Drosophila melanogaster: one gene and its partner. The protein of the gene in region 2 interacts with the protein of the main gene of each other region in a pairwise test. Each region holds a gene or a part of one and is shown on either strand. Other genes may lie near its edges.

Region 1 (4,653 bases), about 10 Mb from region 2:
ATCTTAAGTTATCAATTTTTTCAAGTACATATATCTAGCTTGAATAAAAATGACACTATCTATCGATATAATTAGCATATTTCTCAATATTTCATCTTCAAGTGCTTATTACGGGTCAGAATAAATTATATTAACTAGTCACTGTGCACAAGGAAGTTATCTTAATTACGTGGAAAATTCGAATTAAATTATTTATTAAATAGAATTACCAGAAGAACCCCTATATAAGGAATCGCTCCGCAATGCCGCACAACTTTTTGTCATCTTTTATGGGCCATTGTTTTCCCATTTCGCTAGCCCCGTGGCTTCTTCTAATCTAATTTCGGCAAATCAAATGAAACAACGGGAAGCTCAGCCCCCAGTTTCATCCTCCGCAATTTCAAAGAACGACAATTTCCTTGCCTCCACTCCCCCAGCTGATCCAGAACTACTAAAACAATTTGCCAGCAGCTATTTCGCGTCTTGGGATCCGCTTACGAGGACAATTATCCATGTGTGTGTTGCCAAGTGCGCATAAGATTTTTCACCCGGTACCCGAATAAATAAGGAAACGAGGAGTTGGAGATACTTATCCTGTTAATCTGGCAGAACAACAGGAGAACATAATGCACTGAAAGGATGTCGCTGTTTTCCTAGTTTTACGAGGCATGATTTAAGGTTTAAATACAAAAGTGCATTTAGGAAGAAATGTAAAAACTGCATTTTCCTGATTTGATACCTTTGCAAAGAGAGGGATCTGGTTTAACACTAGGGAATATCAAATCCTAAAGTGTATTCCACCCGTTCATAGGACTCCATCCCCAGTTAACTGTGTGTTAGAGTGTGCGACGTGAATGCGTTAAATTAAATCAAAAATGTATGAAAGTCACACGCACACGCAAGGAGTGAGGGAAACCCCCCAGCTGTACTTACGTATCCCAAAGCCGAGAGCTGGAAGGACCAAAAGGACGAAGCTGATGCGTAGCCAAGACGCTAGTGGGGATGTATGGAAAAATCGGCGACACCACGGCGCTCCTACTCCTGCTCGTTCTGCTCGTCCTGCCACTGTCATCTCGGTTGTCAACGTGGCTGGCCTGGTCCTGGTTCTGCTGATTCCGGTTCTTCGACTGGTGCTGCTCCAGCTACTGCTGCTCTTCTGGCTCCAGTCCTGCGTGGCAGTCCCAGTGGCCCAGTTCCTGGCTGCAATGACACTTACAGCGCCTTTTGTGCGCTCATTGTCCGCCTGCCTCCAATTGGGACTCGTTTGCGGCATCGAATCTGGCTTCTCGTGCTCCTTAGGACCAAGACCAGGGCGAGGGCCAGGACCAGGACAGACAGGATCTGCTGATTGCACTGCGCCGTCTTGGCTGGCAAACTTTGTCGCATTCTCTGCTCCGTTCTCGAAATCCCAGTCGAAGTCTCAGATAAATAGGTTTATTGAATTAATACACTTGGGGCTGGCTTGGGTCCTGGCTTGCCTCCATTTGGGTTCTATCTAACCTCTATACTGTTTCATTTTATTTTATTTTATTTCATTTGATTTTATTTCTAGCTTTCGACAAAAAATTGCAATTCTTCTTTATGGGTCGGCCACAAGTTTTTCGATGCGTTTTCTCAAGCGATTTTCGTGCAAACCCATTGTTGGCTTACTCGGTCTCTGCACTTGGTTTTGCACAATTTTTGTGTTGCTTGATTTATATATTTATTTAAGTGTTTTCGCCTTTGTTGAGTGGCAAACTTTTATTGGCGATGCAGTGGCACCAGCATAGACAAATAAACTGGCATCGGAACTCGACTTTATTCCATGGTAATCCAATTTGTTTATTTAGCTTTTTGGTCTCTTCCAAAACTTATTTTGTTGAACAGCACAAATCCGTTTAATCCCTAATAACTACATTTACCTAAAATGTTGTTTGCATACGATTTTATTGTGATTGTAAAAGTGGTTTTGGGATACCATATAATTGAGTATTAAAAGCACGTGAAGAAAAATACGTATTTAAAACAAGAATAAAATATAACCTTACCATTAAAAATGGTATTTCTTTAAAAACTAATCTGAACAGAGTTAACACTTCTGCATGGTAACAAAACTTTTGAAAACATATTTCTACATCTTGAAGTTTTACTTCAACAGCTCAATCAATGGAAAAGTCAAGTGCTCGAACTTGCCAAGAAATATAAATCAACTTATTTCCACTTAAACTTTCATAATCGTTTTGCAATTAATTACATAGAATTTCCTTTTTCTTGGTTCCCGGCTCACTTTCTTAAAAGTTAATAACTTGCACGGCTTTCATGCAGAACTATCACACAATGTTCTCGATGACTAATGGCCAAAACTTTTCGCACAAAAAAAAACCTTAAAAACTTCGACCATTTATAGTGTTTAACAAGTTTCACATTGCCTTTCGATGGGCTTTCTTTGAGTTTTAGGTCGGTGGCAAAAGGTAACAATGGCCATATGGCCGGGCTCTAAACGAATTGTGTGCAGCTTGGGTGGCTTATATTTAATGATTTAACACGTGAGAAAACATTTACACTTCAGTAACAATTTATCGCATAATCCGACTTGAGAATATTTTTTATTTCGCCCTCCTTGGCATTATTCTTGCTGCCCAAAATGATGCACAATAATCCCTTTTTTACGTTACGCGTCCTTGGAGAAATCCTCTGTTTTCTTCGGTCCTGTTTTTGTTCCTCGGCTTCGCAATTCAGCGCGGCATTCTAATATCCATTTGCATAAGGCGGGAGCAAACAAATTTTAAAAGTGATTTCGGCAAAAGACACTCGACAGGCGGCACTGCAGGACACGGGACACAGGACACCCAAGAGGACATCAAGTGGTTTAACTTTGTCTTAATTCTTCTTTTCTTTCTTTGCCACTTTCCATTAACTTTTTTCTTCGTTTCTGTTGTCACATTTTGTTTTCCTAACTCCCGCCTCTTCAGCACAAGTCCCTTTCAGACATAAACGCGTAAAATTGACTTCTGGTTGCGGTTTCGTTTGCGGTCTGGGTTTCCTTCCACCATCCGAGTCACGTCCGCGCGAACCGGATTCAAATTTTCGACTGAGTCGCGTTCGAGCGACGCCATCCCACTTCCCATCGAGTTCTTAACATTCCGAGGCGGATAGTGCCGATTCATAGCCATTCCGTCGAGCGTTCCACATCGGATTCTCCTCTGTTTCATGTGGCATACCGGTTCGTTTCCAACTTCCCCAGCTTTGTGCCGTTCACATCCCTCTGGTTGCACTGAATTTTCGGAATCGAACCGTCGGGTTATTTGCCGGCTGTTTGTTCGCGCCTGCGCGCTAATACTGCTTTGGCAACAGAAGATTGAAGATTTATTTTTTATTCCGCGGATGCCATTTGTAGATGACCAACAAAACACTTGTTTCCGCCGGACAAATGCCTATTTTAGTCGCACATGAATATCAATTGGTTCGCTCGACGCCACCAAAAATCGACCATGATGTAAAATATGAATTGACGCCTCTTAAAAATGGTATAAAGATTGATACATGGAATATATAAATCTCGTAGCTATTCAATTTTAAAATGAAAGAGTTTAAGAGTTAGCAGTTTGTAACCGACCTAAAATATAATATATATTTTAAGCAGTTAATTTCTATTCCCTCTTAAACCGAGTGTTAGCTTTATTTTGACATTAATCTAAGCTGAAATATACTCATCCGTTCTTCAGCACTTTTCTCTAAGGTTAAAGTCACGAGGCAACCAACAAATAATTGGAGTCGTGCAAATGGTGACCCCGTAAATCACGGTGGTGACCGCGTTGGCATTCGGTCACTAAATTAGCTCGGTGTCTGTTGAAAAATCATCGCCTTTAGTGGCCGGAATTTACTGCCCCGGCGAAGACATATCTGTGGTCTCGGGTATTGTGCGACAATATGCCATTATGTAGAATGGAGTGGGCCAATATGCGCGGCTTGATGAACGACGGCCTAGGACTAAGTATAATCTCGTGTGCTTTGTTGTCAAAGAGCAAGTAACAAATAAATATTATTGAACTTTTAAGTCCCCAGGGGGCGGTGGCCTACAGGCAATTGACGCCCCAGTGCGATAACAGAGCCAGCGGGCAGATAGGGTGCTGAATATCCTCACACAGGACCAACATAAATTCCTGCTCAGTTCAATTTATTGTGTATTGACACAGCTTACGGAGAAACAAATAAAAATGTTTTCGAAAGTGCGGGTGCGCTTGGTGCCAAAGTCCATCCCCCCATCCCCCCCTGCGCTGCGTAAAGAACTCCTCCCAAAGGCTCCAGGAATGCGGACGAGTTCCCCTCGGCTACTTTTGCCGCCCTTCCATTGGTCCTTGAAGTCAGGGACCTCGTTGGCATCCATTGTTATTACCTCTTTGTTGTGTTTACACGCCATTTGTGGTATTTCACTCACTTCCACTTCCATGTGGCTCACCTCGTCTCGCCCGCAGCAAAAGATCCTGCGGCGGAAGGTGTCGGGCGGGATGCGGGCCAAAGGCTAAGGGGCTGGCTGGCTGTCGTAAAAGTATATTTGAAATGCAAATGCCGGCGGGCCTTAAAATGCTCAACTTCTGGCTCACAAAATAATCAAAATATACTTTATGTCGCCTTTGAGCCAGTGAAAACAGTGAACAGTTGCGCCAGTTATCGAAGCCAAAAGCCAGGCAACAA
Region 2 (3,346 bases):
CACACAGACGCCCCACAATTTGCGAGTCGCACTCAACGTGAAGTGTTTTGTGCGGTTTTTTCGTGTTGCATGTTTTATATTCGTACACATATATTTTTAGAAATTGTTTTTAGTTGAATGTTTTACTTTTATGCTGAGTTCGGTGACAGCTCGAAACGAGTCCTGGTGGGCGGAGGTCCTGCTAGGCCGGAGCAGGCACGCTGACAAATAAGTCTCATACGTATTGTTCGAGTTCTTTCTGGGCTTTGGGAGATTGGAAGCCAAATCTGGTTACGGATTAGAAAAAAAAATTCTAGAAAAATCTAGAATCTGTTACATCTGTTTATTCAAGGTTATTCAAAATCCTCGAATTTAATAAAGATATTTTCAAAAAAGCCAGTTCACTTTTTTTGCAGTAACTGACACAGCTGCTGCTCTCACATGAATGAATATTGAGTACACACACACACATGTGCACGGCAACCAATACACCCATGCGATCGGCCGCCCCAAAAGTATGCAACACTTTGCCCGACTCTCTATGCGCATCTTTATTAATTATGCCAGCGATTTAATTAAAAACTTAACCAGCTGTCGCCTTGAGCGCCGCAGCACTGAGCAAGGGGATCGTCTCCTGGCCACCCGAAGGAGGCGGACATAGCGCGGGGGGCGTGGCTTTGGGGCTGGCAGGAGCGGCAACTTCCGACGGATTCCTGCCGAGTTGGCAACTTGCTGGCGCTGCAGTTGCCGCAGATGGGTATGGGCTAATTAAAATGCATTGTTTAATGCAAATAATGGATTATATAAGTTGGTAGTTTTCAGTGTTTACTTACGGCGGGTGGCTCTCGACTCGTGGCGCCCAAACGGCTGCAGCTGCGGCTGGCGGCGCCTTAACGACTTTTGGCCCGACTCCTCCATATTGTTGTGCCGTCTGAATTGGCTTTGGCTGGAGACGCAGTTGCTGGCCTGGTTGTTCAGGTTGCACATTGACGCCATTGAACCCGGCCAATATTTGAGGTGGTTGACCCGCGGCGTTTTCATAAACAAAAAAGTGTTGCCCCTGTTCCTGTTGCGGTTGATTTGTGGCCTGTTGTTGCTGCCATTTTGGTTGCTGTTGTTGGTAGTGTTGCTGCTGCTGCTGCCGTGGCTGCTGATGTTTCTGCTGCTGCTGTGGCTGCTGCCAATTTGGCACAGTTTGGCCCAGTAACTCGTGCAACAATGGCGCCAACGCTTCGCTGCCCGTGATTTGTTGCAGATGCTGCTGGAGCGCGGCTTCCTCAATCTTCTGTCCCTCCGCCCGATTGATGCTCAGGATGCCGGTGTTGTGGTGCCTGTAAGCAAATAGTTTGCTCAATAGATTGACCCGCTAACCACCACCCACACACTGGGCGAGATTCATTCCAGCACATTCACACGACCTACTTTGTCAGCGGCTGTGCAAATGTTTGCGAAACAACTCCCAAACAAACCAGCGGCAAGTGGAGCAGAACGAGCCAATTTGGATACATATTTAAAGACTTATTAGTGCCAGAGACCTTCCACTCGAAACTCTCGGTGAGAACTAACTCCGGCTAACTAACTTCACACATCAAATATTCTCCGATGCCATGGATTCTAATTGGGAGATGCTTGCTTTTGCCTAGGCATTCGATTAGGTTTCTTGTTTTCGGGCATTAATTATTTCGAAGCTAATTATACATGCACATTAATATGCAAATATTATGAAGTGTGAACATTTTGATGTGCCCCATTGGTTTCGGTATGATAATTACCAGTTCGGCTTTACAGATCCAACTGGAGGCCCGACAGCGGTTCTCGATTGAGTGGATCTCAATTAGCCGGCTACAAAAAATATGACTAGCTAATTGGCTTAATCAAATAGTAAAAATAAGCTAATAGAAACTAAATAGTAACGTTATACCTCTCTTAAATTGATTAGAATACATTTATTCATCTAAATAGTTTACTTCTTATTGGTAAAGTTTAATATTTTAGCTTTAATAAGAAATATGTTTTTTATAATAAGCTGCCTTTCAGCTGCTGTAAATGCCTCCATAAGTTATATGATTATGTGCTTTCAACAAAAAGGGCTCTTAAACTCAAATCCATAAAACTACGCTTCTCAAACTGTTGCATTAACATACGAGCCATTTCAAAGAGGTGGCCATAAATCCAAGCTAAAATGTCAACCGTCTGGCAGTGACTGTCAAACTGTAAAGTGGCCCTTGGCTTCAGCTCCCATTTTCCGCTCTCCGTGGATGTGTGGCAAAATGTTTTTCCATTAAATTACAATTCCCCTTCTCGGAAAATACCCCCTCCCCTCTACCCCCTCATCATCGGCGGCCTTCGTCGACCAGCAAAGTCATGAAATTTAGTGTTGGCGGCATAATTAGACCATCAATTGCGGAAAACTCATGACAGTCATGAATGGCCGACTGTGTGCATGTGCCTGTGTTGGTGGGCCAAAACCACATGGGCGGGGGGCGTGGCCAGGGGCCTAGGCACACTCTGGAATAAAGTAATATGTGCTCCAAGCATAAACTCATCAGAGTCGGAAAAGCTGACAGAGATGAGAGGACGGCAACAGCAACAAGAGCAGCGCCAACATTACACAGTAAAAAGCAACTTAATTAAAATATCAGTTGAACATCATAATAAACAAGATAGTTTCTATCGAAATATTTGATATATTAAAACCTAAGTAGATGATCAAATGCGAGTTCATAGAATAGAGTAGTAGTATAAACTATTACATACAATTTGAATATTTATTCCAGTGAAGCAATGGCAGCCACAAAGGGCGGCCTGAATTTCAACGATGGACGGGACTGTTGCACACAGAGGCAACAACAACTGGCTGGACTTCAGCAACGATGGCCACAATAAAGTCGGAATGTAAAGCACAAATGCTACTTTGGTTGCTCATAAATATTCACTGGAATGTATTCGTCCTCCTCCGCATTTAGCCGTTGTCCTTGTGGCTTCGCTTTCATTTTCCACCGCTTTTCGGCCGAAAGGCGCAAAAGTGTGAAATGGCCGAGTACGAGAGTGTTCATATATATATATATTTTCTATTTTTATGACGATTTTTCGGTGACTGTTTTAGCCAGCCGAGTGTGAAAGTTAAGCACATAAATTACAGGCGAGCGCCGCCATAGGAATTAAAAGCACCGTGCACAGTGGCCGAAAAACCAGAAAACACTTAAAATATGGCAACAACCGCTCACCCGGGAATCCACCTCTTTGCAGCCACACAGCAGAGGGAAGAAAAACGGGTTCAAACGAATAGTTTGAACTTCTTTAAAGATTCTAATCCAATTTAACAATTTATGCAATATATACTCATTTAGACTTTTAATCTTTGATT

What was found. Proteins that work in one complex are often made in the same cells at the same time.
Region 1: the proteins of CG5386 (region 2) and dpr17 interact in a two-hybrid assay, tested with the Drosophila melanogaster proteins (one large-scale study listed by BioGRID).

The regions. Positions count from the first base shown.
Region 1 is NT_033777.3:12,093,276-12,097,928, reverse strand, and holds the start of dpr17 (defective proboscis extension response 17), read right to left. Parts: upstream 3,054-4,653; 5' UTR 2,629-3,053; intron 2,300-2,628; exon of another isoform or gene 1,881-2,299; 5' UTR 1,253-1,880; coding exon 913-1,252; intron 1-912.
Region 2 is NT_033777.3:22,340,728-22,344,073, forward strand, and holds CG5386 (uncharacterized protein), read right to left. Parts: upstream 1,525-3,346; 5' UTR 1,488-1,524; coding exon 1,402-1,487; intron 1,311-1,401; coding exon 813-1,310; intron 744-812; coding exon 563-743; 3' UTR 509-562; downstream 1-508.